4 linked regions of the Lytechinus pictus genome follow. The protein of the gene in region 1 interacts with the protein of each later gene in a biochemical or structural test. Links are inferred from orthologs where the notes say so. Each region holds a gene or a part of one and is shown in the gene's direction. Other genes may lie near its edges.

Region 1 (7,051 bases):
AAATTATTATCTTACACCTTAAAGGACAAGTCCACCCCAACAAAAAGTTGATTAAAATAAAAAGAGAAAAATCCAACAAGCATGACATTGAAAATTTCATCAAAATCGGATGTAAATCAAGAAAGTTATGACATTTTAAAGTTTCGTTTAATTTCACAAAACAGTTATATGCACATCCTGGTCGTATGCAAATGAGGAGACAGATGACGCCATCCACTCACTATTTCTTTTGTATCTTATTATATGAAATATGAAATATTCTAATTTTCTCCTCATTGTCAAGTGAAACAATGATTATTTCTCCCTGAACACATGGAATTAGCATTGCTTAATACTATGTGGTTCAGTCAAGTTGGTCCTTTTTGTCAAATTTGTAAAAAATGAAATATTGTATGATTCAAACAATAAATAAACAAAAGAAATAGTGAGTGATGGGCATCATCGACTGACTCATTTGCATGTCACTAAGTTGTGCATATCACTGTTTTGTGAAAAATAAGCGAAACTTTAAAATGCCATAACTTTCTTATTTTCCATCCGATTTTGATGAAATTTTCAGTGTTATGCTATTCTGTATTCATTCAAATCAACATTTTTCTGGGGTGGACTTGACCTTTAAATCAATTGTCAATCCATTTTTTTTTCTTGGTAGACAAAATTTGAATAGATGTTATTAATAAAATAAAATACCAAAGAATAAGTTGTGATAACAGTGTAAGCAGTTCTTATGAAATCCATTAGGATAAAAACTCCCTTCTTCCCAGAATGGAAAAAATAGGCACAATGAAATAACAACCCAAAATAGCACTGCACCAATAAACCCTTCATTCACTATTGTCAATAAGTAAGCTGCTTGTCTTACATCTAACAAAATGAATAACAGTACAGATCTATAAATCTAACCACAATTGATTAAACAGTGTTCAAGGCAGACAGAATTTTGCAGCAAACAACTTTCTTTTTTCAAAGTGTTGAAGAAACCGGATGAAAAACATGTCTAGTACGGTGTAAACAGGCATGAGCAATAGCTGAAGAACAATGTAGTCTTAACCTTTAGAAACAAGGACAACTAGAGATTTGAAGCCCATCTTAAAGGAAGTAAGCACAGGTGTTGTTTGGATTTACTACAGACCAAAACAGCATTACAATTGGTTTGTGTAGATCTGCTTGCCACATACCATTAAAGTGACATCTTTAATCTTCATTTAAACCCACTCCATAGTACTGGATATTCGCTTCAGTGTACTCAAGACACCAAAATGGCAGTATCCGGTGGTCAACCCTAGTTTTATTGTACCCTAAAAAATGATTTAAGGTCTATGGCATTTTTTTATCATCTATAAATAGAACACAGATATGACATACTGTACGGACCTTGTTACTTCCAAAAGCTAAATCTTACATCATAGTCTAAGACTAAGTTAGAGATAAAGTTGAAAAGATTTAGTTCAAACTTGTTTTATTTTAGTATTTGGACTAGAAATTAGGCTAGATCTAGGTCTTAGACAGGAATAGAAGTCTGCTATCATTTCTGGGGATTTTTTATTCAACTAGACTTTAGAGTTAATAAACTTTAATTAATTTATCAACAATCCCTAGAAAACAGTATACTTATATCTTATCATATCATACCTTATTGTTACTTTAGTGTAGGGTCTAATGTTAGGCCAGGGCCAAGCCCTAGCCAGGTCATGTCTAAAGGCCACCGCACACCTTACGACCCGACTGGTCTGCGACTGGCTTGCGACTGAGTGAGGGGAGATGTGATGTCACAGCTCTTGTCAGCTTGATAGTTGCAGACCGGTCAGAGACAAGTCGCAAGGATAATCGGAAGGATTTGACATGCCGAATCCTTACGACTGGATCGCAAGCTCAATCCAACTTCCAGCCAATCAGACAGCAGAGTTGCACGACGCGTATATGATATACAACGCGCATATGCAGTAGTAAGCGCATTTTCTTAGTTGCTATGGCAAAAAGCGCATGCGTGAGTCGCAGACAGCATGGTAGTCGGCTTGGTAGTTGGATCGGATCGCAAGGTGTGCGGTGTCGAGGCTTATGGCTACCTTGCGATTCATATCCCCTCACTCAGTCGCAAGCCAGTCGCAGACCAATCGGGTCGTAAGGTGTGCGGTGGCCTTAATAAATAAGGTTAGGCTTAAACTAGGCCAAACTTAGTCTAAATTCTAGACCAATAGCTTTGCCGTTTTGAGTCTCTGTTCGTCAGTGTTGCACTTGGCTATGTCTTGTTTCACCGTCTCCTCCAATTTCATCAGTCCATGTGTAGACTGACACTGCCACCGTCACTCACTCAAACGGAGGAGAAATTTCAAAATGTAAAAAAATGCTTTATATGTTTAAAACTCCACCAGACAGATTTCAGCTCTCTAGATCTAGACCACAAGCTTCGGTCTCTGAGTTCCACTAGTTGGCTCCACTCACCAATTAGATCTAGATCTAGTACAAGTTTTTTTTTTAAATCCTTGAAACAGATGGCTGTCTAGCCTATCGTTAGGTCTAGATCTAGGCAGAAGGGCTAGGCTATGATGGCACTAGATTTGTGCTGTAGACATGTGTATAAAAAAAGTCAATGGGTTAGTTGGCCTCAAATTTTCTTTCTATATTTTGAGTGAACAATGTATCGACATCTTAACATTTTCTGGCAGCCAAGTTCATTATCTATCAATGTGACACGTTTCACAGCTCCTCACAGAGGTTCAAACAGTCTAGGTCAACATAAAGACTTTAAAATGCCTATTTTTAGCCACTATCCCACACAGTATAGCTTATAGGAATGGATCATTATGCTACATGCATTTCCAGGCACATATTTTTATTGAGTATTTAAGCCTTGTTTTTCACTATTTAGGAAATTTTGAGGTAAGTTTTGAGCAATGTCTCTGATAATAATGCTAATAATAATATTACGGTAGGCCTAGACTCTTAAATCTAGCCACTAATGCTTTTTAGTAGAAATGCTGTTTCTTTTTTTTGTTCTACCTACCTGGGCTAGGTTATTATTTTTTTTTATTTAGGCCTAACGTTAGATCTATAGGTTACAAAACTTTATTTTCAATCATGCATGGCCATGGGTAAAAAAAAAAAATTTAGACCCTATTTTTATTTGCATTTATCTTTGAATCGTCCCAAAAGACAGTCACTGCCTCTAAAAACTTTTAAGCCTAGGTCTAACGTTAGATCTTCATTTGGGCAAATGAAACAGGAGAGACATGTACATCGAGATTTATACTAGATAGGCCTAGACTGCATAAATAATGGGAAAATCCATGTCCATGACATGTCCATGAATGTGACCATGCCATGGCATGCCCACCACCTCAACGTGTTCGAAATAGCATTGCAGTTGCACGTGTTTTAACTAAGAGTAAGATTTTATGAACTAAAACTTTAAAGTAAAAGTGAGTTAGGCCGAGCAATGCCAATGCCAACACTAACTGAAACAGCAAATACTATTACTAGCACAAACATCCACTTATTTCCATCTTGAAACGTTAGTGATAACTTAAGAGTAACTTACAAGCAACATACAAAATTTAGTCTCACCTTTTTACCACCTGATTGATCTCGTTCACTTCCACAACAATACCATATAAGGAAAAAGGGGTTGTTACTTGTGACGTAGCGAAATCAAGGTTTATGCATGTTTTGTTATGGAAATGAAGGACCTCTTCCGGCGAGGTTGGTTCTATTACCCGGAAAAAGATTGTGACGTGTAATTGGATGCGTCCACATCGTTACGGGTAAACTCAAACTAAAAACAATAGAATATCACCATTTAGATAATATTTCATCTAAAGTTCTTCGAGATAAAAGGTATCAAAATAAGAAGATATATTATTCAATAACCAAAACTGAATAGGAATTATATTTGTCTCTTTAATTTATAACGTGATTATATCATGATACGCTTGATATGTACACTGGAATATATCATCCCTACTATAAAAGTGGAGTCGTCGAAGGGGTTACCGTTTACTTCCAGAGCACTGCACGTGCTTTGATTGACATTTGGGATCGACCAATCAGATCGCAAGATGACATTGCCAAACACACGTCTTACATCATCGCCGACCAATCGTTATTCGAGAATCTGATGTCACTGCTCTTCCGTCTATTTTGGGAATCCTTAGTCAGTGTATATATAGTGAGTCAGCGTTGGTATCGGAAATTCATGCTACGATCATTTCATTTTGCACTGTGAAGAGACAGAGAATTCTCTCAATCCTTTACCTGGCCAACTACAGGATCTCCCTCTTTGCCACATCAATTCGAGACCTGTGACTCAGACTTGTAGCTCATAGCAAGAGAAAGCTCATAACTGTTTGTATGTCAGCCGAAAACGGTCGCAAAAAGATGGAGACTCAGTTCTACGAAGATGCACATAACCCGTGGCTGAGCAAGAAGAAATGCATGACTCTGGATTTGGACACGGGCAAGCGCAAACTTACGGCTGCTGTGCTGTCGACTCCAGACGTTCAGATGCTCAAACTCGCTTCTCCTGAACTCGAAAAAATGATTATTTCTCAGCAAGGCAATATTTGTACTACACCAACGCCTACTCAATTTATCTGCCCGAAAAACGTTACCGAAGAGCAAGCCGCCTTCGCCCAGGGTTTCGTCGAGGCGCTCCAGAGCCTTCACCAACGGAATGATTCGGGGGACTCCGAGTCCGTGGTGAGCGATGATGAATCGTCGGTTGACCAGCTGGACCTAAGTGATCCAATAACAACCTACCAGCAGCAGCAGGTCCTCAACCCCCTTACCACCATCTCTAGTATGACCACAGCTGCGACATCGATTTACAACCCTGCAATGCCTACGACGACTACACTGCCTGGATCAACCGTTAGCCTTTCATCTCGTAATTCTATGCCCACTGACTCTACAGCCATCACATGCGGATGGCAGACGAGTGTTGAACGTATCAAACAAGAACCTGCGTGCGAAGAGCCCCAGACCGTCCCGGTGTACCACGCCACCACTAACCCACCCATGTCCCCCATCGATATGGAAACACAAGAACGCATCAAGGCTGAGAGGAAAAGGCTCAGGAATCGAATTGCCGCCAGTAAATGTCGTAAGCGCAAGCTTGAGCGAATTGCCAGGCTAGAGGATAAAGTGAAGGACCTGAAAACGCAAAATACAGACTTGTCGACTACAGCAACCAAGCTTCGTGAACAAGTTTGTGCTTTGAAACAGAGTGTGATGGAACACGTAAAGAGTGGATGTCAAGTTATGTTGGCACAACAACTGGCTTTTTAATCTGGAATAATTGCAGATGATTTTGAAACACTGACATTCATAACTGAAAATAGTGATCTACAGACTATTGACTTTCGAGGCCTGCGAAACAAACATTACTGTGGATGTGGACTTTGTATTTGCATTCATATTCTTTGAGATCTTAAAATTGACCTAGAAGACATGTATAGACCTATGTAATCTATTTTACTGTGCTGGTTTGCAGTTCCCAATATTATAGTGCTGATACAAAATTACTTTCATTCAGTAGTTCCGACCTGGTTATATCCAAAATTACCAGAAATTTGGGGCAGGATCCCCAGTATTCCTATTTCTGATTTTCAAATATCTCAAGTCCATGATGTTCGTTGTATGGAATTGATAATCTTCTGCATTTATCAATCTCTGTGTAGGTACACTGTACATGTCTAAAAATGCAGAGCAAATTGAGAATTTGTTTATTCCGCCCAGTAAGACGATTTGATAAACCCATCAAACCTAGTAACCTAATGACAATTTGTCTTTTAGCTTGCCCAGTAATTTTGAGTCAGTACTTTGGTAACAGTCATTTGGTGTAAACTCACTTATAATGCCCAAATTTTAATTGTACTTGTCCATGCTTAGTCTTTTGAAGTCCAGTGTAGTAGGATGGTCCTTTATTCAAAAGAAAAAAGGGAAGGAAAGTCAAATAATTTTTTGTGAGAAAATTTTTGAAGGAAACTGCGAGGAATTTATAAAGTTGTACATTGAAATGGTTTATGATGTGAATATTCGTATGAAAATTTTTTGTCTTTCAAAGAAGCATACTGGTTTTGAGAAGTTATTTCGAACAGAATGTATGGTCTTGTGTTATGAATTTCTTGTTTTTCCTCAGATTTTATTTTTTACCAATTGTACATTTGACGAAAGCATTGTGTGCAAGGAAATAATCAGCTTTCTTTATTTTTTGCTTGTAATGACCACTGACCATCAGAAATGGCTGCAAATGCAATGTAGCTCATCTGTGTTATCAATTTAATCTTGCAACAATTTCAACAGCTCACACCATTGGGAGGCCAAATAAAATATTTTGCGACTTGTTTGCACATTACTGCACCAAAGCTTTTAGACTCTTAACTTACAGTAAAAGTTACGCATTTTGATCTACGACACCTGTGGACACCTGTGGTCGGTGTTTTGTTTATTTTTTTGTATTTACCAATGCCGCCATTCTTGCAATACAACTTCAGACAGATAACATTTTGCCTGATGAGTCTATGACATAGGCATAAACAGAAAGGTTGTGATTCATTAATATAAGCAATCCATGTATGAAGGCGAAATATGAAACACTGCTGAAGAATAATCTGTTATTTAATTAAATCATACATGAGTTTCTTTTGACCCATTATTCACATGCTAGATTCTGGAACAACGTTTTCTTTAAAAAAATAACTCTGTTGTATTCTCCACGTGTTGCACAGAATTTGACGTTACAAATTTTTGTATCTTTGCTGGAATATGTTCCAATAAAATGTACTTGCAATAATAGGTTTTCATGTTTTTAACCATTTAAAGTCATGTGAATATTGTGTTCATTTGAAAGCTGGGTAATATTTTCAATTCTTCATTGTATGATACCTACATGTATCTGAATGAATTAGATCTTTTCTTCCAAATCAATTTTGTGTTTTTTCTATAAAGATGCATCAACTAATACATGTGCATTAGTTATGCATTTTACCTTTATTGCCATTATTTCGTTTTTATGAAGTTTGTCATGCAATGTATTGTAAAAACAAAATTATTG
Region 2 (7,873 bases), on another chromosome or scaffold:
GGTGTCCCAACAGTGAATGGATTTTTGGGAGAGACCAGACCTATGGATATGGGGTAGGCGCTCATTTATCGACGATGGTCATAGTCAATAACAACACTCGTATTGGCCTTCGCAAAATGTGAGCAAATAGCATTCTTTCCTCCTCCTTTTCTCTCTCACTCTCTCTCTGTCGTTGCCTCCTTTTCCGCCATCATATTTAACGAAGAATACATCACTTCTTCACTCGCTGAGCGCAGCTGAGCTGAGAGGATTGCTGCATAAGACTTGTCGAATTCGGCGAAAGTGCTAGAGAAAGGAGAAGCCTACATGTATTTGATTGCATATCGCGGGAAGTTATTTAAAAGCGCGGGCCGTTGAAACTCCAAGATCCGAAAGTGCGCATGCTCGAAATATTGGGCTTGTTGGGCCTCGCTCGAGCAGGAATCGCTCTTCTTGCGATGGTGGAGACGGGGTTTCTTGAATCTCGAGATTAATCGCGAAGAGTGCCGATCGGGCTAAAATCTCGAGATTGAGCAAACTCGGGATGTGCAGCACCGCCTTATGTGACATCATCTCTGAAAATCTTACATTTCTTGGGACTGACCTTCAGTCTGTTCTTAGTAAGTGCTTGAAGTACAAGTTCTAATTGTCGCTTATGGGTATTCTTGTCAGGGCTAAACAAAATGATATCATCATGATGGCTATGCAAAAATTCCTAGAATTTGGTATTGTACTCAAAATATCATCTATCTTAGCTTGAAATATTCCTGGTGATACATTCAATCCTTGAGCTAGTCTCTTGTAATAGTAGTGTTTACAATCAGGGTACTAATGGATAATTCGTTTTTCATTCCCGATTATTGCAGAGCAAAAACGGAAATCAACCTCATGGTTCGGTCTTTGAAAACACAAAAACGAAATCACAACGAGAAAAACCTGTTGTGATTTCGTTTTTGGAGATCAAAAACAGAAGAATGAAATCAGAAATACTTTTGGGCTCTTTCTGATTTCTCATTCTATACTTGTGTTTGTTACATATCAAAAACAAAATCAGCACACGCTTTCCGCTCCGTGATTCTGTTTGGAAAAACGCAGACAGCGAAAACGAAATCGGAAACTCACTTTCCACTTCCTGCTCTGTGAAGGTCCGAAAACGCTGGAAAAAAGCCATGTTAACGTGAATTTTTGTTGCACGTGGTCGTAACATGCATGCGCTGTACTGCGTGCACGTGTGTATAACGATCGGAAACGTAGAGAGCGCTCTTTAATATACATGAAAGAAAGGACAACTCGGCTCAGAGACGAGCGGAAACCGTATTTCGATACGGCTGCTAGCTGTGCAAAAAACAAAATCACAGAGCAGGAAGTGGAAAGCGAGTTTCCGATTTCTTTTTCGCTGTCTGCGTTTTTCCAAACAGAATCACGGAGCGGAAAGCGTGTTCTGATTTTGTTTTTTATATATAACAAACACAAGTATAGAATGAGAAATCAGAAAGAGCCCAAAAGTATTTCTGATTTCATTCTTCTGTTTTGATCTCCAAAAACGAAATCACAACAGGTTTTTCTCGTCGTGATTTCGTTTTTTGTGTTTTCAAAGACCGAACCATGAGGTTGATTTCCGTTTTCGCTCTGCGATGATCGGGAATGAAAAACGAATTATCCATTAGTACCCTGATTGTATTCCCTGTAATGTAATGTCGCAACCATTTAGAACCATCTCTGATTGGATAGAGAGGATATGACGAATCACATGTTCAGCCAATCATCATCTTACGTCGCTGTACTAACACCAGATTACAGAGCTCGTGATGCGCATTGCAGTGGTTCACCATTTCGACGTTTGGCTTCATCGAGTGAACATTGCCCGGAACATTGTGTAGGTGTCCAGTCAATAATCATTGATTAACATCATAATCAGATAGATCATAGAGAAATATTTCTGGTTTTGTTGTGAAATAAAGATACAGCTATGGAGAGCCTGTAATAATCATCTTCGGAGCACCAGTGCGGAAGAGTTATGTTCAATCATACATCTTTCTTTTCACCCTTCAAAAATATACGAAAAAAGACGTGATTTGTGGGAGTTTCGTTTGATCGCAACGCTTTCTGCGATCGTTCCATACTTTCATCTTTGTGATGATCAGATGTGCAATGATTCCTCAACCACATTGATTTACAGTGTGGGAACTTCCGGGGGAACTTATTCGATGTCACTTTGAAACATGCGGTTAGTTTTCCTGCTTTAGAATTTAGATTTAAAAATATATTTCTGTATATTCTTGGTTGCGTTTGAATAATCATGGACAAGTTAAGGTGGATGGAATGTTGGTACGTCTCTACATGATGGATTGATGATCAACTCAATTTCGAACATGTGAGTAGAAACTGCTTGTGTATAATTTTGATTAAAACTTATGATCTCTTCACAACATAAAATAGCGGTAGAATGTCATAGATTTCTGCTATGTACACACAGTAAATCGCGTGTTGTATTTTATTTTCTATTGTTTCTTGTGAGCGAAGTTATTATTTGCTTTACTGTTTATGTTTTTTTACCTTTTAATTATTGCACTTGTTGTAGTGCCTAGCACTATTAGCCATAGAACTAGATAAATAATCTGAAAATTGTAATTATACAATCATCATGAGAAGGACCTATTATTATACACTACTCAAAAAAAGTTAAGGACCACTTTTTAAAACGTACATAAAGATTTTATACAAGGTGTTTTATTTCTGGAAATACCTCAGTACAACTGTCCTAAATGCCCTTAAACACGCTGTAATCAATTTCACGCATGGGTGGTTTCAGTTGTTGCACAATGTCTCTCGCATCACTGCACATCCTGAAAAGTGGGCCCCGAGGGGTATCAGCTACCGACATGAAGTGGTAAAAACGAATGTCTGAGTGTCTTTCAGGCAGTTCAGTAACGAGTGTGACCACCTCCTGCAGCAATAACGGCTTCACAGCGCTGTCTCATGGAGCTGATGAGGCGATTGATGTCTCTGACGTCCAGTGCATCCCATGCAGCCTCCAGAGCCACACCCAGCTGCTGCAGTCCAAGTGGATGGGCTTCGAGCTGCTCGAGACTCCTCCCCATCATGTCCCAGACGTGCTCTATCGGGTTTAAGTCCGGGGACCTCGCTGGCCACTCCATACGCTCAATCCCCTGGCCCTCAAGGAACTCGGTCACCACCCTAGCTCGGTGGGCACGGGCATTGTCATCCATGAAAATGATGTTTTGTCCCACATTTTCTGCAAATGGCACCACTATAGGTTCAAGGACCTCATCCCTGTACCTCACTCCTGTCATTGCTCCCCCTGGGACCACGTAGAGACGAGTACGGTTGGCGTAGGTGATGCCTCCCCACACCATGACGCTGCCTCCCCCATAACGGTCATGTTCTGCAATACAGGGGTCTGCAAATCTCTCTCCTGGTCGCCTCCAGACTCTCGAACGTCCATCATTGTGGTCAAGGGAAAATCTGCTCTCATCTGTGAACAGAACTCTACGCCATTGCTGTCTGGTCCATCTGACATGCTCCCGGGCCCAGTTGAGACGAATTCTTCTGTGAGCAGGGGTGAGTGGGACACACTGAGCTGGCCGTCTGGCATGCATATTGGCTCTGTGAAGTCGGTTACGGATTGTTTGAGTGGAAACAATCACTCCAGTTGCTGCAGCGAAGTCATTGTTGAGGCGGCGTGTACTGTGAAAGCGGTTGCGGAGGCTGAGATTCGTCAAGTAGCGATCATCTCTAGGGGTTGTCGAAACTGGTCGGCCACTGCGGGGTCTCTCGGAGTATAGCCCTGTCTCTCGGTGTCTTTGATTTGCTCTGCTAAGTATCTATGTATTCAAGTTTTCCTGTAGGCATAAGCCCGTATCCGCGTATCAAAGTTTCTAATTGTATCCACGTATCCAACTATCCAAAAGTATCCACGTATCCGCGAATCCAAGTATCCAAGTATCCAATAGTATCCATGTATCCAAGTATCCATGTATCCAAGTATCCAAGTATCCAATAGTATCCAAGAATCCACGTATCCGCGTATCTATGTATCCAAGTATGCAATAGTATCCAAGTATCCACGTATCCGCGTATCCATGTATCCAAGTATCCAAGTATGCAATAGTATCCAAGTATCCGCGTATCCATGTATCCAAGTATCCAATAGTATCCAAGTATCCAAGTATCCAATAGTATCCATGTATCCAAGTATCCATGTATCCAAGCATCCAAGTATCCAATAGTATCCAAGTATCCACGTATCCACGTAATTCGCGTATCCATGTATCCAAGTATCCAAGTATGCAATAGTATCCAAGTATCCACGTATCCGCGTATCCATGTATCCAAGTATCCAATAGTATCCAAGTATCCAATAGTATCCGAGTATCCCCGTATCCATGTTTCTAAGTATCCATATCCAAACATGTATGTAATATAATAGTATCCAAGTATCTTTGTATACATGTATCCATGTATACATATCAACGACTATCATTCCTTAAATAACATTTAAACATAATCAACATAAATATATACCAATGCACATATCCTCGATCACGCGCCCCCTCTTTCATTCCTTCATATATCTTCCCTTAAAAACTCCTCTGATTATCATATCACCTGACATTACTTCACCCCTCCTTCTACATCAACCATATTGGACAAGTCGTGTACCCCCCTACGGGACCATCCCCCTCCCCCTCTCATCCTTTATCCATTTTCCGATCTATCTCCTGCTTGACGCCGGGGCCTCTTCATTAGCTCACGAACGTAGAGGGCGACAAAACTACTATCACCAAGCCTCTGGCTTACTGGCTATCGCACACCGGCAGCAGCAAAGCAGCGATTAGGAGGTAAATTGGTCTCATAATCGATTATAACATGACATTGGATTCTAAAGTTACTCCCTCGTTGTGTACAAAGTCAATGCCAAAATGGGAATGGAAAGATGTCACCACCGCTGACGAAATAAACGGCAGTGAATGGACTGGTGACATAAACCACGATAATGCCAGAGAGTTTAACTTGCCAGTCTTTCCCCCCGAACCAAACGTTGATCTTCCTTCCGTTGTTGCTGTAATTAGGTGGTCTGTCCATGCTGTCTCTGACGGATCACCTCTTAATTTCGTCAATTTTCTTTATTTATTTTTCGCACCTATGTTTGTCGCCAACTTTTTTCCGAATCGGCTATATCAATTTTGCTGAATTTTTCGTCATATATAATGTCTATCATAGAGACGCTCTACTAAGCTTTTCAAGGTCATCTGGTCATGATGACGTCATCTACGTGCCATTTTGTAAATTCTTAATTTGATAATATGTACATAACGGACAATCAATAGTCAATCATATTTACGTCATCAAATAAACTTTAGGTCGAAGGTCATCAGTCAATGCCATCAAAGGTCATGACGCGCGCGTCAAAATTGAAAAATGCTCAAAATGGCCTATAATTAATTTTGGGTACGTTTCATTAATTTTTGGGTACTATTCTGTGTATTTTGAGGGAAAATACGTTTTCCGTTTGAAATGCCACTTTCCGTTTCAAAAGGCCCTTTCCGTGAATTCCGTCCGTTTTCCGCGATCGCGGAAAATCACTGTCCCTACATGTGCACATATATGTGCGCGCGCAAATTTTTAAGCATTTCAAATTTGCGCGCGCGCATATATGTGCACACAGGGCTAGTGGCTGAAAATAGGCATTTTTAAGTTTTCATGCTGACCTAGACTGTTTGAGCCTCTGTGAGGAGCCATGGAAACATGTCACATTGATAGATAATCAACTTGGCTGCTAGAAAATGTGAAGATGTTGCTACATTTGTTACTACATTGTTCACTCAAAATATAGAATGAAAATTTGAGGCAAATTCACCTATTGACTTAAAATTCTTTTTACACATGTCTACAGCACAAATCTGGTGCCGTTGCCCACCCTACCCCTGGCATAATATCTATTGAGTCTAAGTTCAATAATAATTCCTGTAAATGCTTAATTATTCAGTATAAAACTATTCACTTTCAAGTAATATACCGGGTATTTCATGATTAAACATTTATAGGCAAATTGAACTATGCAAACAAATTATGAATACAAAAGTCTTTGGTTAAGACTATCCAGTAATACTCACTTGAAGTCGCTTGTTTGTTTCAGTAGATTCTTAGATAAGTAAATATTTATAAAAAAAACATAAAATACATATCAATAAATCTCATATGCTATTCTAATTAATGACTTTGCTCTTGGTGTACAAAAGTGTCATATCAAGATCAGTCTTTAACACTATCTACTTGTATCAAGAAAATCAAGTTATTAAATATTCATCTTTTAGTAATTTATACATGAAATCATAAAATCAAAATGGCAGATTTTCCCGTAAATAGGCAAAATACGGAAAAGGAATGGGTAACTTCGTCCGTCTGACATAGGGCTGCATAAATTCCAAAATATGATAATATTCTCAATTTTAATGTAGCCCACAGGACAAGAAATGTCAAATCATATTCTCAATTCTCTGAAGTCCTTGTAAACGCAATAACTCCAGTTTATACACTCCAGTTTATATCATACACACCAAATTATAGGAGCCTGGGTTAGTCCCAGGCTCCTATAATTTGGTGTGTATGATACTAGGAAGCCTTTTTAATTTGAAGCCAGAAAGCCATTTGATTTTGAGGTCCAAAGGTCAAGGTCACTGTGACATGTTTTCATCTTATCCTTCTGAAGTCCTTGTTTACGCGATAACTTTAGTTGAACTTAACCTAGGCTCATATAATTTGGTGTGTATGATACTAGCATAGATCCTAGCAATTCTATTGATTTTGAGGTCAGAAGGTCAAAGGTCGCCACCTACTTTTCTTGCTTGACCAATAACTTCATTTTCTGCATTACAGACGGGCGTATTATGTGCTTGCCTTAGCGAAACTCTTTTTAGTGTAATCCAAAGACAGTCAAAGTGTATAAACTGGTGATTAGACAAAGTTATGATTGGACCAAATGGTTGTTAGACGAAATTTTGATGGACTAAATGAAGGTAGATGGTGTTGGCAGTAGACGAATTGGCACTTTCCCTCTAGGGCAATATGGTTTTGTAAAATTAATATATAAAACAGCTCAGATGTCTGATACTAGTCATAATGTAGAGCAATGAAAAAGTTAATGATATGCTATGTGCATACTTTATGCATATCAGATCACTTATAACGCAAGAGGTGACAAATTTTACAATGAGGACACAATAGACATGAAATTTGCATTCTTTTTTTTTTCTAACCTCAAACATACAGGTAAACCATACTATTTTAAAGCTGCTACCAAGGAAAGTCAATGGGAGAAACCAGCTGGTCCTCCAGCCAATAAAGTTCGCTGCTCCCATCTCCTAGTCAAACATAGAGATTCTAGAAGACCTGCATCCTGGAGGGATGACAGGATCACTCGCTCAAAGGATGAAGCTCTTCAAATAATAAAAGGCATGTATCCATTCGTTTATCTTTTGGCAGTCTCTCCTCCATGAAATTCCTTTACAACGTTTTATGATTTGGAACCTTAATGAAATTAAATCTATGAACGTAGGATTAGCATGTTATATTTTCTTGTCCAAAGTCACTAATTATGACATTTTCCGTAAACGGAGGCCACCATATTCATCACCACAAAGGGTATATTGCAATCTTGTGTGTACAAGTCATACCATTGGCCTTACAAAGATTGCTTGTGTCAAACATAGATTGAAGGTGCCAATCTTTGTAAGAGACAGAATAGAAATCAGAAAAGATATTTCATAGAGAAATAAGAAATTTATTTCCCATTAGATTGATAACACTGATAAAAAAAGGTTTGAATTTGAATTCATTATCATGAGAAACATGAAATGAATAGAATGCCTAA
Region 3 (6,918 bases), on another chromosome or scaffold:
GTGCGTATCAAAAAAAGTTTACAATTTGAAAAAGCCCTGGGAATTAAAAAATATACAACATGTGGGTAATTTTTTTCACATATAATCTTGGATTTGGGTCTCACTTATCCAATGAAAGTAAAAGTTTTGTCAGAATGTTACACTTGAGTGAGCACTGTCCATTTTTGTAAAGCTCGCAGAAATCTGTTTGCGCAGAAATGCTCGTTTTCACGCTGTGTTAAGGGGAAACGGCGAAATCAAACTTACCCTGCGAAACATTTCTCATACATTTCCCTTGCACTTTTAGTCAGTTGAAATAAGACGGATACATTCAAGCATTTTGTAACAATTTTGCCACCCAAATCGAAATTTCAGCACTTAGTAAGCACAACCTTTACCCTTTTTGTGCCAGCTGGATCTGAGGACATAACTGAATCTGAACAAAAGTTTAAATCAGACATCTCCAGCATTATTTCACTCAGTTTTTATCATTGAAAGTGGGTTTACATTTCATTTCTCATTTAATACATGTTTCTCCACATTTTTCCCAAGCTTGGTAATGATTAACAAAATGAAAATCAAGCTTAAGCCATTCCATGTAAATCACAGCTCAGTGTAAAGCAAATATCGTCACGATGGCCTCGGTGTGTGGGGGAGAGGAGTGGGGTGTAATGCTCTCTTCGAAGTGTTTTGGGCAAGGAAACAAGTCAAAAAAGGTAAAAATATCTTCAAATCAATTTTAATAGCTAAACTCTACGTGTTCTTCATGATTAAGGTCTACTTTTATTCGCATAACTATTTCAAAGTTCTGCGCAAATCATTTTTCACTAACTTTTCAAAAGTAAGTGGTGCTCACTCAAGCGGAAATATTTTTCGACAGTTATATCGTCATTTGATTAAATGGACCTGTACCATAGTTAAAATGTGGAAAAGAGTTCAGGATATTACAAATGTATAATTTTACAGGATTTTTTCAAAGTGTAAATTTTTTTTGATACGCACTGTAGAATACGATTAATAGGATGTGCCTATACGATCACCCTACGGGCGCACTGCGACGATCGTAGACCAAACGTTTTTTTTCTCTCTCTCTTTCCTTTCCTTCTATATTTATGTTAATGATTTGGTATTATTCATTATTTTAAAATGTTATGTATAATGAGGAATAAATAAAATATGATTTTAAAACAAAATTCGTAAACGTTGAATAAGATTAAGAAGTGATAGTGAACCATAATATTGTAATTGCTGCTTAGTGGTGGTGCATATGGTGAAGATGTGTGTATCAAGGGGATGATAGTTTAAAGGGATGGTTCAGGCTGAAATTATTTACATCTAAATAAATAGAGTAAAATTCACATAGCAAAATGCTGAAAATTTTATCAAAATCCGATAACAAATAACAACGTCATTGAGTTTTAAAGTTTATCAATATTTTGTGGAAACAGTTTTATGCACATGTCATGAATATTCATTAGGTGGGCTGATGATTTCACATCCCCACTTTCCCTTTTCTTATGTTTTACATGAAATCATAAATTTTACATTATTTCATACATGTGTAAATGATGTGTCTCCATTATGATGAAATAAGCTGTTGCGGCAAGAATAACTAATGCACTAAATCAGTTGTCAATCCAAGGTTTTAGTTCTTGGTAGAAAAATATTATTGTGAATAAACCTTATTTCATAGAATAAAATACAAAAGAAAAAGTTGGGAAATTACATAATCAGCCCACCTAATGAATATTCACAAAGACATGGCTAGAACTGCATGTATCACCGAAATAATGCAAATCTTTAAAATTCAATAACTTCGTTATTTGTTATCTGATTTCGATCAAATTTTCAGCATTTTGCTTTGTGAATTTTACTCTATTTATTGAGATATAAATATTTCCAGCCTGAACCATCCCTTTAAAAGAAGAAATCATGTTTCTACAATGCTGCATGCAGCCAAACCCTTTTTTTAATACATGTAATGTAATTTCTTTAGAAAATTACATCAAAATAAATTTATTTTCATCACCCCGAAAAAAAATCATGATAACAGCATAACTTCGCTGAGAGTAAAAAATAAAATAAAATAAATATAAGAACACAACCAGAGTATCATATAAGTGAAATTTCGATCAACTTCACCATCGCCGCAACTCGCACTGATAATCCGATACTTTTAATCAGAAAAAGCTTAATTTGGAGCCGCCGAAAGCCGTTCAACATAAAGTTTCAAGATTGGCCAACGAAACAATGAATCTACGGATTTTAAATATACTAAAAAACACTCCATCACCACTATTTTAGTGATGTTAAGGATCTCACAGAGAATAAAGAATAAATGAGTTTTGTGAAAGCTATATTTTTTATATGGACATTTGCAAAGGTGATAAACAATATGATACGACCAAGCCCTGCCACTATTCAGGATTGGTCTAAAATTTTATTGGCAAATTTCGTCACCAAACACGTCTGTTGGGAGAATAAACGTACATGAAAGAAGGAAGCCAGGGAGGGGGAGAGACAAAGAGAGAGGGGGAGCCATGAACTAAGAAGAGTAAGGAAGGCTAAAATGGGGAGAAAAAAGGTGAAAGAGAAAACAAATTAGATTGTCTCTTTTCCGTTTTCTTTCTACATTTCTATTTCCCTTCCTCCTTCTTCTACACTCTAAAAATGAAGTGCTAATTTATCACTTATTTGTCCTTGTATAATGACTGCACTTTGAGTGCTCATTCAAATTTGAACTAGGAAAAGATCAGCACTCAAAGTGCAGTCACTATACAAGGACATTAAGTGCTAAATTAGCACTTCACTTTTTAGAGTGCATTCTTCTATTTTCACTTTCATATCTTCATGATCTTTTGCCACATTTCTGGTGGTCCCTCATTGAGAGAGGGGGAGGGGGCGCTGCGCTACCCCCCACTCGTTGATGCCCACGGAGACTTCTCGCATAGGCCCACGTGTAATCCATCTTCTCTTTTTGCATGTACGTGCTGTTTAAATAATTTCTTTTTTTATTGTAGACCCCCTATTTCATTTGATTAATGACGAAAGTTACGGTGTATAATTTCACCTTTATAACTTATACTTCAGTGAAGTTGGCTAAGGCATAATTGTGGATGTCATTCAAGTTTCAAACTCTGAAAATCCCCTCAAATTTGATAGATGGGCGGAGGAGGGGGGGGGGGTTGAAATCTCATGATATGGAAGTCATAGCTGATATATATAAAGGAGCACAAAGTTTTCCAACATGCGACCAAAAACTCTCTCTGATGCTACCAAGAGATGGTTAACTGCCGATTCGTCTTTTGCCAACTCGTCTACTCATCACATGGTCAACCTTCATTTAGTCTAAAAAAACTGTCATTCCGTCCATCATCAACATTTCGTCTATCAGTGATCGACAATTAATAACCATTTGGTCCAATAATCACTTCGTCTAATCACCAGTTCATCCCTGACCATATTTCGTTTAATAAGCAGTTGGTCTAATATCCATTTTCTTTTATTCATTTCGCCCAATAACACTTATCCAATTAGACCAAATGGTTTATGGACTAAAGGGCTATTGGAACAACTGGTTAATTATACGAAATGGTGAGTGGACAATATGGCAATGAGACTATGCGCATAGATCAATGGTAGTATAGACGCGACGATGAGTCGAATTGAAATAACCCAAACTTGGGGTCTATTTCAATCGTATCCCCAAGAGATTGACACGAAAAGTTTTTTATGAAATCCGAGCAAAAAATAAGATGTAAATTTACTTTCTTATCAAATTTTTTATTTTCTCATATATCATTTCATTATTATGATCAGTCAAATATTATTATCATTATTATTATTATCAATTCAGTATACATGTCGTTCATCAGTTTCATATCAGAGATAAGAAATTTTTGGAGATCGCTATTATAAAGGATCCTTAAATTGGCAACGTAATGTAAGATGGATTAATTGCGTTCAATGATACTATCAGCTCCTCCGTACACAGAAGAAAATACTACAAAGTAGACCTCATAAAGGAGCAGATATTCTACATTTTGCACCTTTTATTTCATTTTACTACATTTCTACGATCATGATAACATTAATGAGAAGTTGCTTTACGTGAAAATATGAAATTTTCGACCAGGAAATGCTATCCTGTGGTTCCCGAAGGACTTGACGACAGTGCGAAACGCCTTGGGGCCGGCTTTGCAGCCGCACAGCTGCAGCACAGCACAGGTACGGTACCGTACTACCGCATCGCGTACCCGGCGCGGTACGGTTAATGTGTATGCCTACGTGTATGACGTGTGTGATGATTATGCGTGATCAGTCATTCCAAACTTGTGAAGTTTAGATCAAACTGTAAACGCTTTTCAAGTTTTCATGAATCTTATCTTAAAAAATTGCACCAAACTTCTTCATGAAAACCCAGTCATCTTTTGAATTTGATTTTGAGTGCTCTGCATGGCCATGCCCGGCCATGGCCTGGGAGTGGGAGTGCACGTAACAACATGATTTTCCATCAATCACATATTCACAACGCGGCGTTCCAGTTAAACGCGTTAGAGGCCGTTGTCGTTGATCCAAAAATTGGGATTGTCCCTGAAAAAACAAGGATATCCTCATCAACAAAGACAAATCAATCATGTCTTGATAAATTGTCGTTATTTATTACTAATTTGGACAGGTTTTTTTTCCACTTACCCTGGCCCTGCACTCTGCAGCCTGCAAAAAGTGCAAGATATGTAGACTAGTCTTGTAGAGTGTAGACAGCGACTAAGGGAATAGAGTGCTAAAATTAATTTAAAAAATAGATGAAGTGACTTTAGTTCCCCCACTTCACCGTCTATTATTCACGTCTTGCCATCTTCCAATAATCTTGTTATGAAATCTGGTAATGTTAACATTGACTAGCGCACTTGTTTAGTTGTCGGCACTTATTTCAGCCAGGTGAATGAACTCTATACTACTTCTTTTGTGGAGAAATCTTTGAAAACTGAAGACAGTCCCTGTAATTACTGTAATACTGGGACGATCCCAATTTTCTGACCAGCGCCTCTACTGCGTTCAGGATCTCTTCGAAAATGTGCACGTCATTAGATTTATTGTGTGCATTCACTTTCACTGTCCATCTGAGGCTGAGCTATCTAACTCGGTCACAAAGACTGAAAGAGCTTACTTTGTTGGCAGTGCTGAGCCAGTTTTGTTGATAGGGTCAAGATATAGGTTTTCCAGACTAGTTGTTGAAGGCCCTATTTGAACAAAAATTAAGAAAAGCAAAAAAAAAAAGAGAATTTCCAGTGGAAATTGTCTAATGAACGGATGTCTTGATCTACGGTACTGTTAGTTAGAAATCATTGATTCTTCAGTCAATTGTCCAGAACTGCTTAGTGCTAGAAGGCTGAAGGTCCAACAAATAATGTACACCCAAGAATCCAAGATTTTTTTTTTCATGATAAGATATAAAAGATTGGCATCCAGTAAAATATCCAAAGTGATTAAGTATGTTGCTGCGAGTGCAAGGTGTTGATGTCATGACAGAGTGAGATACGTTAAGTTCTCGCAAGCTCTGGGTTCACTGAATAATGTGTGAGTTGCATTTATGACTGTAAAGACTGTATGTACATGCTTCTGCTCCTACCATTCCATGTTTTGAATTGGAATGGAACTTGTTATTTCAGTGCATGTTTTTTTTTTGCCCCCGTTATATTTGTGATATTCAGCTGAGAGAAAAGGTAGTCTTCCCGTACCATGGCAAAGGTAGACATCAATTCTGCTGATGTAGATGCCCTGACATCTCTACTCGGTGTGGGGAGGAACAGAGCTGAAGCTATCGTCCAGCATAGAGAGGTATGTATGGTTCACACAAGTTCAAGCTTTGATAATCTATTTTGGTCTGCAGTTTTACAGATTGGGTTGAATTTCCAGGGAGCAATGTTCTACACTCTAATGATAGGATTAGGCCTGAGTCATTACGTTTATTATGAAAAAAAAATATATACCTAGACAGGCAATAAGGGTTAACCAACAATTTTTTTTTGCGGGGGGGACCCTCTTCAAATGTTGCTGAAAATGTACGTTTTGCATCTTTACATTCTTATTACCTTGAAAGTATTGTGATTTCTGTAGAACTTTGGACTACAAAGAAAATTTGTAATCCTTTTTTTTTTCTTAATTCTGAAAGATCAATTTAATTTGATGTTTTGACTTAGTATGTTCTGATGAAATATGTATGATATTGTCTGAAAACTGGTAATCGTACAAACTGTGAGTGTCAAATGGCTTAGGATGCGAAATTAATAGTGCATGATAGCAATCTCATATTTCCTGCTGGGACACCCTCTTCCCCTCCCCTTTCTCCTTCCCAGTTGATCTTTGTAAGACATGTTTCTTTAATATGGTAGTGAAGAGGCAAGAAATGTTAAAGTGGGGCATGATACTGGTGCTTCTCGGTACTTTATTTTGGAGAGTGAGTTGACTTTTAGTGAGAGATCTGTGTTAGAGCTAGTGTTTTGCTCAAAGGAATAGAAGATGGCTTTGGAAAAACACCCTTTGTGTCAGTTGTGTCATATCCAGTGGTGAGTGCTCTTCCGTGTGAGAGTAGTAAAACAGGATTTTTTTCCCCTACTGTCTTTTCGTCTTGTGCTGTGTTTCGTTTTCAAGGAAGTGAGAAAATGAAAAAGCTGGCAATTCTTTATTGATTGCCCCATTGCAATAGTAATTGCAATGTTACTCTTTTGGATATCTCATGAACGATATGTCTGTTTTCTCAAACATTTTGAGAGTAAATTGAGATTAAAATACATGTTTTGTGTTTGTAATATTGCAGGCCTCTGGGGGATTCAACAGCATCCAGGACCTGATCACAGTACCTGGTATCGGGAGCAATGTGGTGGATATGAATAGGAACCGGCTGCAGTGCCGTACGAACCATGATGATAGGACTCA
Region 4 (7,686 bases), on another chromosome or scaffold:
TGGATATCTTATCAATCATAAAAGTTGTCAATAGATACACAGGCTTTTTGGTTTTGTTTTGTGTTGAAATTGTGCTTATTATTTTCATGGATTGTATTGTGGTTGATAATGGGCGTTTTTCATAGAGAGCTAGTGGTTTGAAGCTATGTTAGGATGCTGAGGATAAGATCAGGTTTCACTGCCCATGTTGCATGATGCACTAAATATAGCTGCGTTTTCTTTTCCGAATATTTCTGAATAAAAAACGAGTGTACGATGATCAAAACGAAGAAGATAATTCTCAAATCGGAAAGTACCCGAGAGCAACAAAACCTCTGTACCCGGGGGACGTTGTTTACACTATGAGAAAACCTACTAAAAACGACAACGCCTGAGTATTCATCATGTTCATTGAAAATAAAGAATAATAAATTAGTTGCTATTGGTACCCATTCTTTTGTACGCACAGATATCGCCCGACGATGAAACTTAAACCGGTTTTCTTGGTTTTCTTGGACAATCATGTTTTGCATCTTTGAAAGGAAGTGGCTCCCCCGAACGTATTATGGTACAGGGGTGTAAAAACGTCATCAATCACGTGACATATAATAAAAAACCGTATTTTCTTTGTAATCAGTTTCAACTTTTTTAATTTCAAGTCAGTGATATGTAAGTTAAACCATTAAGTGTTGTATCCATGTATTTCCCCCAAAAAAAGAAAAATGCCAACATAAAAAACGAGCGTTATTTAGTGACGACAAAGATTCTGCTAACGAAAGTTCATGAAATGTTCCGAAAAGCTTAAGATGTGAAGAGCGCCGCACACGGCGTTCCACGAACAGGGCGTCAAGACGCTTGATCCGTTTTTATCAAAGGACCTTGAGAATCCCATATCTGTAGAAGAACTTTATAATGTTGTCAAGCAGCTAAGCAAAAATAAATCTCCTGGTGGGTGTTTCATAAAGCTGTTCGTAAGTTAAGAACGACTGCTGATCCCGTCTTGCGGTAAGCGGTAGGCCTATATTGAATTGGCGATGGTTTAGCGCGTAAGAAAGGATCACCAGTCGTTCTTAAAGTCACTCTTAACTTACGAACAGCTTTATGAAACGGCCGCCTGGTATCGATGGACTTACCTCTGAATTTTATCATGTCTTTTGGCCCATGCTCAAGAATGATTTTCATGAAGTTCTTACCTCCTCTCTTGAATCTGGATTTTTACCATACTCTTTTAGGAGGGCGGTCATTACTTTGTTCCCCAAAACAGGAGACATCGCTGATATTTCAAATTTGCGTCCCGTCTCCCTCCTCAATACAGACTATTAAATTTTTGCTAGGCTGCTTGCCAGTAGGCTAAAATCATGCATTGATCAGGTTATTGGAAGAGACCAAAGTTATTGTATCCCCGGTCGTTCTATTTATAACCACATTAATCTCATTAGAGATATTTTGTTCTATGCTAACATTGATAATATTCATTTGGCTGTATTGAACTTGGACCAGAAAAAGGCATTTGATAATGTAGATCATATCATGTTTATTTATTTAATGTTATGAAACGCATGGGTTTTGGAAGTAAATTTATATCTTATATACGAACTTTGTATGAAGGGGTTGAAAACCTTATTAAAGACAGTGTGTGGATCCCTAACAACTCCCTTCCCCTTAAAGAAAGGAATACGACAGGGATGCCTTTTATCAGGGTTGCTATATTATAATCTCGCCATTGAGCCTCTCATTGAGAGAGCACGTGTCAAATCATGCCTTAAATATTCCTGCTATTAACAAACCATGTGTAGTATCTGCATATGCAGATGATGTATCGATATTTGTCACAGCCGATGCCGGTTTTGAATTAGTTGAACAAACTTACAAACTGTTTAGTCTAGCCTCTGCTTCTTCTTCTCTATAAGTACAGGCCACCGTCTGGCGTATTGTCGTACTGCATGTTTGAATACAAATAAATCGCAAGGCCTTTGGGTCGGCCGTTGGAAAGGGCGGAATGATAAACCCCTTAACTTCTCTTGGAATAGTGAAGGTCTCCCTTTTTTAGGAGTTCATTTAGGGAACACAGTTAATTATTCTAAACAAAACTGGGTTAAGTGTAAAGAAAGACTTAATAAGACTTTCCTATCGTGGTCTCGTTTATCAAACTCACTCTCATTTAAAGGCAAGGTATTGATTGCGAAATGGCAGCTCGCAGCATCAAAAATATTTCATTTTCTTGCAGACCTTTCTCCTACTGAAAATATATTAAACGAACTTCAGAATTTAATTGTTAAATTTGTCTCTACGGTCAAAATATGCGGCACTGGTTAAAGAAAGAAGTGTTGTAAGAAAAACCTGACGAAGGAGGGCTAGGGTTAGCTTAATTGTCTCCAAGCTCGTGTTCTAACTTATAGATTTTCGATTATTCAACGGTTTCTTTCTTTAAATTCTCATCCAGTAAACGACATTATGGCTCATTTTCTTAGACAATATTGCAAACTAGGTTTTGATTACCAATTGTTCTTTACAAGAATTGATCCTAAATTTTACACTAGGCTTTCAGTTTACTATAGTGAAGTTTTGCGAGCTTGGTTGACATCTGGAGCTCGAATTATGACACAATCCCTCTCTTTTAGCCATGCAATAAATTAACATGCCCTTAAATAGTATTTATATTATTGATGCAATTGATGTTGATAATTTTTTTCCGGCGCGCCTGATGGCATGCGGAGTGAAACTAGTTCGCCATTTGATAAACCCCTCAACTGGTCTTTGGATTGAGAGTGGCTGTCTCCAAAAGAACTTTCGAAGATTTCGACAACCATCATCGCGTCTCATGAACGTGAAACATTACTCATACGAACTGCACTCTCTCAAGTTTTCCCTCACTCAGGCTGTCAACGCAAAACTCTGATCTATTAGCTCCAGATACTCCAATCAACTTCACTCTGGCTTCTTCTGAAATGGACTCATTGCTTCTTCTAAAGCTACAGGAAAGAACTTGATAATGTGACGACCTCATCAAGCTCACATTGGCATGATACTGGTTTTCTCGATTCATCTACAAAAGTGAACTGGCTGTATATTTATCAATTACCAACATCTAAAAAAGAGGCTGATATTCAATACAGACTCCTGCACAATATATCAGGGGCCGCAGAAGCGGGGGGGGGGGGGGGCTTCAGCCCCACTTCAAGTTTTCCAAAACCGTGTACAAAAACGAAAAAATGACCATTATGATTGTGATTATTTGTATGGTCAGCCCCCCCCACTTTTGGCTCAGCCCCCCCCCCCCCACTTTGAAAAACCATTCCGCGGCCCCTGTATACTACCGTCGCTAACTATACTTCATCATCTTGATACAGACATTTCGTCTTTTTGCGGATGGTGCGGAGAACCAGGAACCATTCAACATCTGTTTATTGAGTATATAAAGGAATCCAACCCCGTCTCAATCTTCTTCATAGACTTTTGAACAATCTCCTTCCATCTCTTAAACTTAATTTTGACTTATACTGGGCTCTCATTCCGCATGCCAGAGGACGTGACAGAAAGGTTATACGCCTTGCAAATTTTCTTATCATCAGTCTAAAAAGTACCATTTATTCCATGTATCGCACCTGAACTTTCACTGATCCACTAATTGTTTGGCTACATCGTCTAAAAAACAGAATTTTGTATGAATTCTCTTGTTAAAAATTATGCTCCAATATCGATGCCTTCTTACGGAAGTGGTGCATGAATAAATTACCATTAGCGGGGCAGTATTGCATGGCTCATATAACATTTGGTTTTAATTCTGTGTTTGTAATAAACGGTTGAAAAACTGTGCTACCTGATTTCCTTTGAATGCTCATGTCAAACTATTTTTTTATTGCAGGGGCCGCGGAATGGTTTTCAAAGTGGGGAGGGGGGGGGGCTGAGCCAAAAGTGGGGGGGGGGGCTGACCAAAAAAATCACAATCCTATGGTCATTTTTACGATTTTGTACACGATTTTGGAAAAAAGTGAGGGGAGCTAAAGCCCCCCCCCCCCCCCCCCCCCCACTTTCGCGGCCCCTGTATTGTATACTTGACTTTTGTGATTATAATTTGTAAATAAAGTTTTCATTTGAAATGTCAAAAAAGTCTTTCTTTCTTTCTTTATCTCTCTCCCTCTCTCTTTCCCTTTTCTCCTCTGTCCTCCATACATGAATTTTCCGACTGCCATGAATGTTTTTTTTTTTGGGGTGTCACACTCCCCCCACAGCTATGGCACTGACTTTAGATCAGTTCAGTGCTCCTTTCGGGAGCTTACGTATACGTATTTTATCTCTGTACTGTGCATGCAGGCTAGAACCACGAACACCATGGACAGAACTATAAACGATCCATGCGTATACCATGTAACCTCACGGGCACAGCATTGACCATGTAGTCTGTGTTTCAGAAGTTCATAGCATTTTAGAAAAAAAATGAAATCAGTGAATTCGAGGAGCAGTCACTTCATTTTCTCAATAAAAGATACACACACATTGGTTTTTTTCTCATTTGTGATTAATCTATTTGGTATTTCGTATGGAATTTGAATTATGAGAAAACATAAAACAATATTCTGGCACTTGCTGAGGGGCTGAGTCACTGCGATCCAAATAAAGGGGAATTTCATGACGTCATTGCATTAGGAGCGTCGCTCCGGCTCCGTACGTACGTATATCAATGTACATACGGTCTCGTGACCATTACTAACTTCGCCATGTTATGGAAATGGTGGTAGTGGCTGCTACACGTCATTCTCCGAGAATAAAACATCTCGTCATTTTCAACCAACGTGATTCCTCCTCGCTTATAATTCATCAACAGCGGGTAAGTTGGATGGACAACCCATCAACAATAACAGTAGAGTAACAAAATAGTGATTTTGACCTGTGACAAGCAGATGATTATGGGTATTAAATAAATCGTCGCCGGATTCACAATGGTTGTGGGTGATCAACGGAAGGGGAAGTTGACTAGCGATCGAATGCATGGACATAACAGCTTTGTGTATGTATTCCAATTACTAATAGTAGATTTGTAGAGCCAGGTTCAGTCATTCAGTTTTAAAATTAATAAAAGGGCAGACGTAAAATGGCAGAGCCAGATGTAAATTAAAAAGAGGGGAATACCAGGAATGGCTCCCCTCCTGAGTCCTTGCTAATTGCTTACCATTACTTACTTTGTCATTTGATTAATGTGACACTCATTCAATGAACAAGGTTATGAATATGATTATAAGTTACCTTGTTCTCAGTTACATTTCTTAATCTTACATCTTCATGTGTGGCCAAATAAGGTTGGCAATGTTTGGCTTATTTTCACTTTTTCTTTGGGACAAATGCTTAATTTTTTACACTGTCAGTTTCCATTACAGCTATTCATCATATATAACTCACTCATTCAATAAACAAGGTTATGATATAACCTTGTTCTCAGTTACATCTCTATGTGTGGCAAAATAAGGTTGATAATGTTTGGCTTATTTTCTCTTTTTCTTTTGGACAAATGCTTGATTTTTTTACACTGTCAGATTCTATTACAGCTTTTCATTATATAACTTGGCTCTTAAGTAAATTTGATTCTTTAAATTATTTTTTCTTCATTTAAAATAGAGCTTGACAAATGAAAATTTTCTTGCCATATTACTTTCCACCAATAGAGGGCGTACACAAAAATATGCCAAAAATTCAAGTTTTTGAGCGCTCTGGTCAATACAAAAATCATTCTAAGTTACTAATGAAAATTGAATTGCAACTGTATGGAAATTAATAATTTTGGTCACAAAAGTGATATTTTAATGATTTTTTAAAGTGTGTGCTCAAGACAGCATTGGCATACCATAGTCCTACCTGTAGATTCTCCACAGGCAGGATGGTTGCAGTGAACAAGTGATATAACTTGGCTCTTATGTAAATTTGATTCTTTAAATTATTTTTTTCTTAATTAAAAATAGAGATTGAAAAATGAAAATTTTCTTGCCATATTACTTTCCACCAATAGAGGGCGTACACAAAAATATGCCCAAAATTTAGGTTTTTGAGCGCTCTGGTGAATACAAAAATTATTCCCAATTTACTAATGAAAATACTGACGTCACGGAGCCCAGGGATGGAATACCATTGCACTTCACGCACCGCCTATTTTCCAACGCTGCAACTTACTCCAAATCGCACATTTTATTTAGGGTTTTGAGCCCAAACTTATCATTTTATGTAGATCTAGATCTAAAAATAGGCTACAAGTACAATATGAATATCATTATCAGTTTGACCCTTTTGGCCAAAATTGTGGTTTTTTAATACAATTGCACTTAAAATTTTAAATACATGAAAATATTAAAAGTAGAGGAGCGTTTACTCGTAGTCTGTTATTGTCGCCATCTTGCCGTATTTGTTATAGCCTAGCTCATTGGCCACAACGACAAATCGTCCATAGACTGTGTACAAAAGATAGATCGTCTCCGCACAGCGATTCGGAGACCGCTGATTGGTCAATCGCGCAGATCACGTCATGACTACGTGGTCGCCAAAATAATTCCTTTGGACTTCGTGCGGAAGTATCGATAGCGATAACGATATCCGGTCACGTTGTGTACGCGGGAAATGGACTTGGTTCATGATCGGATCGCTCTGGTATCGATCGAAAATTATTGAAACTCTGCAATTTCATTCATATTCACGCGACGCTCCGAAACCCGGAAGCCAATTGACTTTGTGCACGCTTGCGATAGACTCTACAAATTCCAAGGAACACGATGCCATACCGACGCTAATTCGTAAGATTTTGACGGAAAAGCAAGAAGTAATTGAAATTTGCTTACCTGTGCGGTATCGGTGAGAAAATAGATCCTCCGAGAATACCTTTCATAATTCATATAAAATATAAGAAAGTGAAATTCTAGGTCGATTTAGGTACGAGGTGATAGAGAATTGCACACTTGTTTTGGTGGAATACTGTGTGGGGAAATGGAAGGCTTGCACTACGCATGCTTACTATATTTTCATTCATAAATTGGCTCTCGGCAATGGCTGGATGACGTCATGTAATAAGCAAAATGTACACGACCACTAGCGTTGAACGCTCCGCTATCCGTTGTACACAATTTGTCGGTGTGTTGGCCTAGCTACAAGACGCCTATAGAGGGCGACAATATCATGAGCAGTGCTAACTTAGATAAAAAAATACTTGCATCAGCCGATAAATATCATGAATCTTACCTCAATGCTAAATGCTCAATTTAGGAGTGATTGAGGAGGGTGCAAAAGTGCACCCTTTCTCCATAGGCGCTGTAGTTAAGAGGCGGTTGTTTGCTCCACCATTACGAGCCCAATGGCCTACATTGGTCTATTGACGGAGGGGATGCCGCGGAGCCATGCAAAGTCTCAGCGAAGCATATCCCTGAAAGAAATAGACCTACACGTATTTATCAGTCTAACCATAGTCCTACATTCCACACAGGCAGGGTGGTTGCACTTAGCCTTGAGGACTCTGTGATCATATTTTTTATGAAATGATATTGTCATTTGATCACAGAGCCTTGAACCGCCTCCCATAAGAGACACATGTAAACAAAGATGGATTTTCCTAGGAAATCCATCTTTGAAGATAGAAATCACGTAAATTTCTATCATTTTATTCAACTATACACTTTCATACGCCTAATGCGTATGAAGGTGCAAAAAGTATGTTAATAAGAAGGTTAAAAA

Evidence for each region. The genes of interacting proteins can lie anywhere in the genome.
Region 2: the proteins of transcription factor Jun-like (region 1) and peptidyl-prolyl cis-trans isomerase NIMA-interacting 1-like form a complex in vitro, tested with the Homo sapiens proteins (2 studies listed by BioGRID). The link is inferred for Lytechinus pictus from reciprocal best matches to the Homo sapiens genes JUN and PIN1.
Region 3: the proteins of transcription factor Jun-like (region 1) and F-box/WD repeat-containing protein 7-like form a complex in vitro, tested with the Homo sapiens proteins (3 studies listed by BioGRID, with this or other methods). The link is inferred for Lytechinus pictus from reciprocal best matches to the Homo sapiens genes JUN and FBXW7.
Region 4: the proteins of transcription factor Jun-like (region 1) and cyclic AMP-dependent transcription factor ATF-7-like form a complex in vitro, tested with the Homo sapiens proteins (4 studies listed by BioGRID and IntAct, with this or other methods). The link is inferred for Lytechinus pictus from reciprocal best matches to the Homo sapiens genes JUN and ATF2.

What each region holds. Positions count from the first base shown.
Region 1 is NC_087255.1:21,057,269-21,064,319, reverse strand, and holds the start of transcription factor Jun-like, read left to right. Parts: upstream 1-4,051; 5' UTR 4,052-4,347; coding exon 4,348-5,283; 3' UTR 5,284-7,051. UniProt on the Homo sapiens protein: Transcription factor that recognizes and binds to the AP-1 consensus motif 5'-TGA[GC]TCA-3'.
Region 2 is NC_087259.1:1,859,544-1,867,416, reverse strand, and holds the start of peptidyl-prolyl cis-trans isomerase NIMA-interacting 1-like, read left to right. Parts: upstream 1-4,869; coding exon 4,870-4,978; intron 4,979-7,272; coding exon 7,273-7,455; intron 7,456-7,873. UniProt on the Homo sapiens protein: Peptidyl-prolyl cis/trans isomerase (PPIase) that binds to and isomerizes specific phosphorylated Ser/Thr-Pro (pSer/Thr-Pro) motifs.
Region 3 is NC_087249.1:44,557,763-44,564,680, reverse strand, and holds the start of F-box/WD repeat-containing protein 7-like, read left to right. Parts: upstream 1-3,914; 5' UTR 3,915-4,206; intron 4,207-5,693; 5' UTR 5,694-5,721; coding exon 5,722-5,820; intron 5,821-6,799; coding exon 6,800-6,918. UniProt on the Homo sapiens protein: Substrate recognition component of a SCF (SKP1-CUL1-F-box protein) E3 ubiquitin-protein ligase complex which mediates the ubiquitination and subsequent proteasomal degradation of target proteins.
Region 4 is NC_087247.1:50,736,484-50,744,169, reverse strand, and holds the start of cyclic AMP-dependent transcription factor ATF-7-like, read left to right. Parts: upstream 1-4,682; 5' UTR 4,683-4,919; coding exon 4,920-4,987; intron 4,988-7,686. UniProt on the Homo sapiens protein: Transcriptional activator which regulates the transcription of various genes, including those involved in anti-apoptosis, cell growth, and DNA damage response.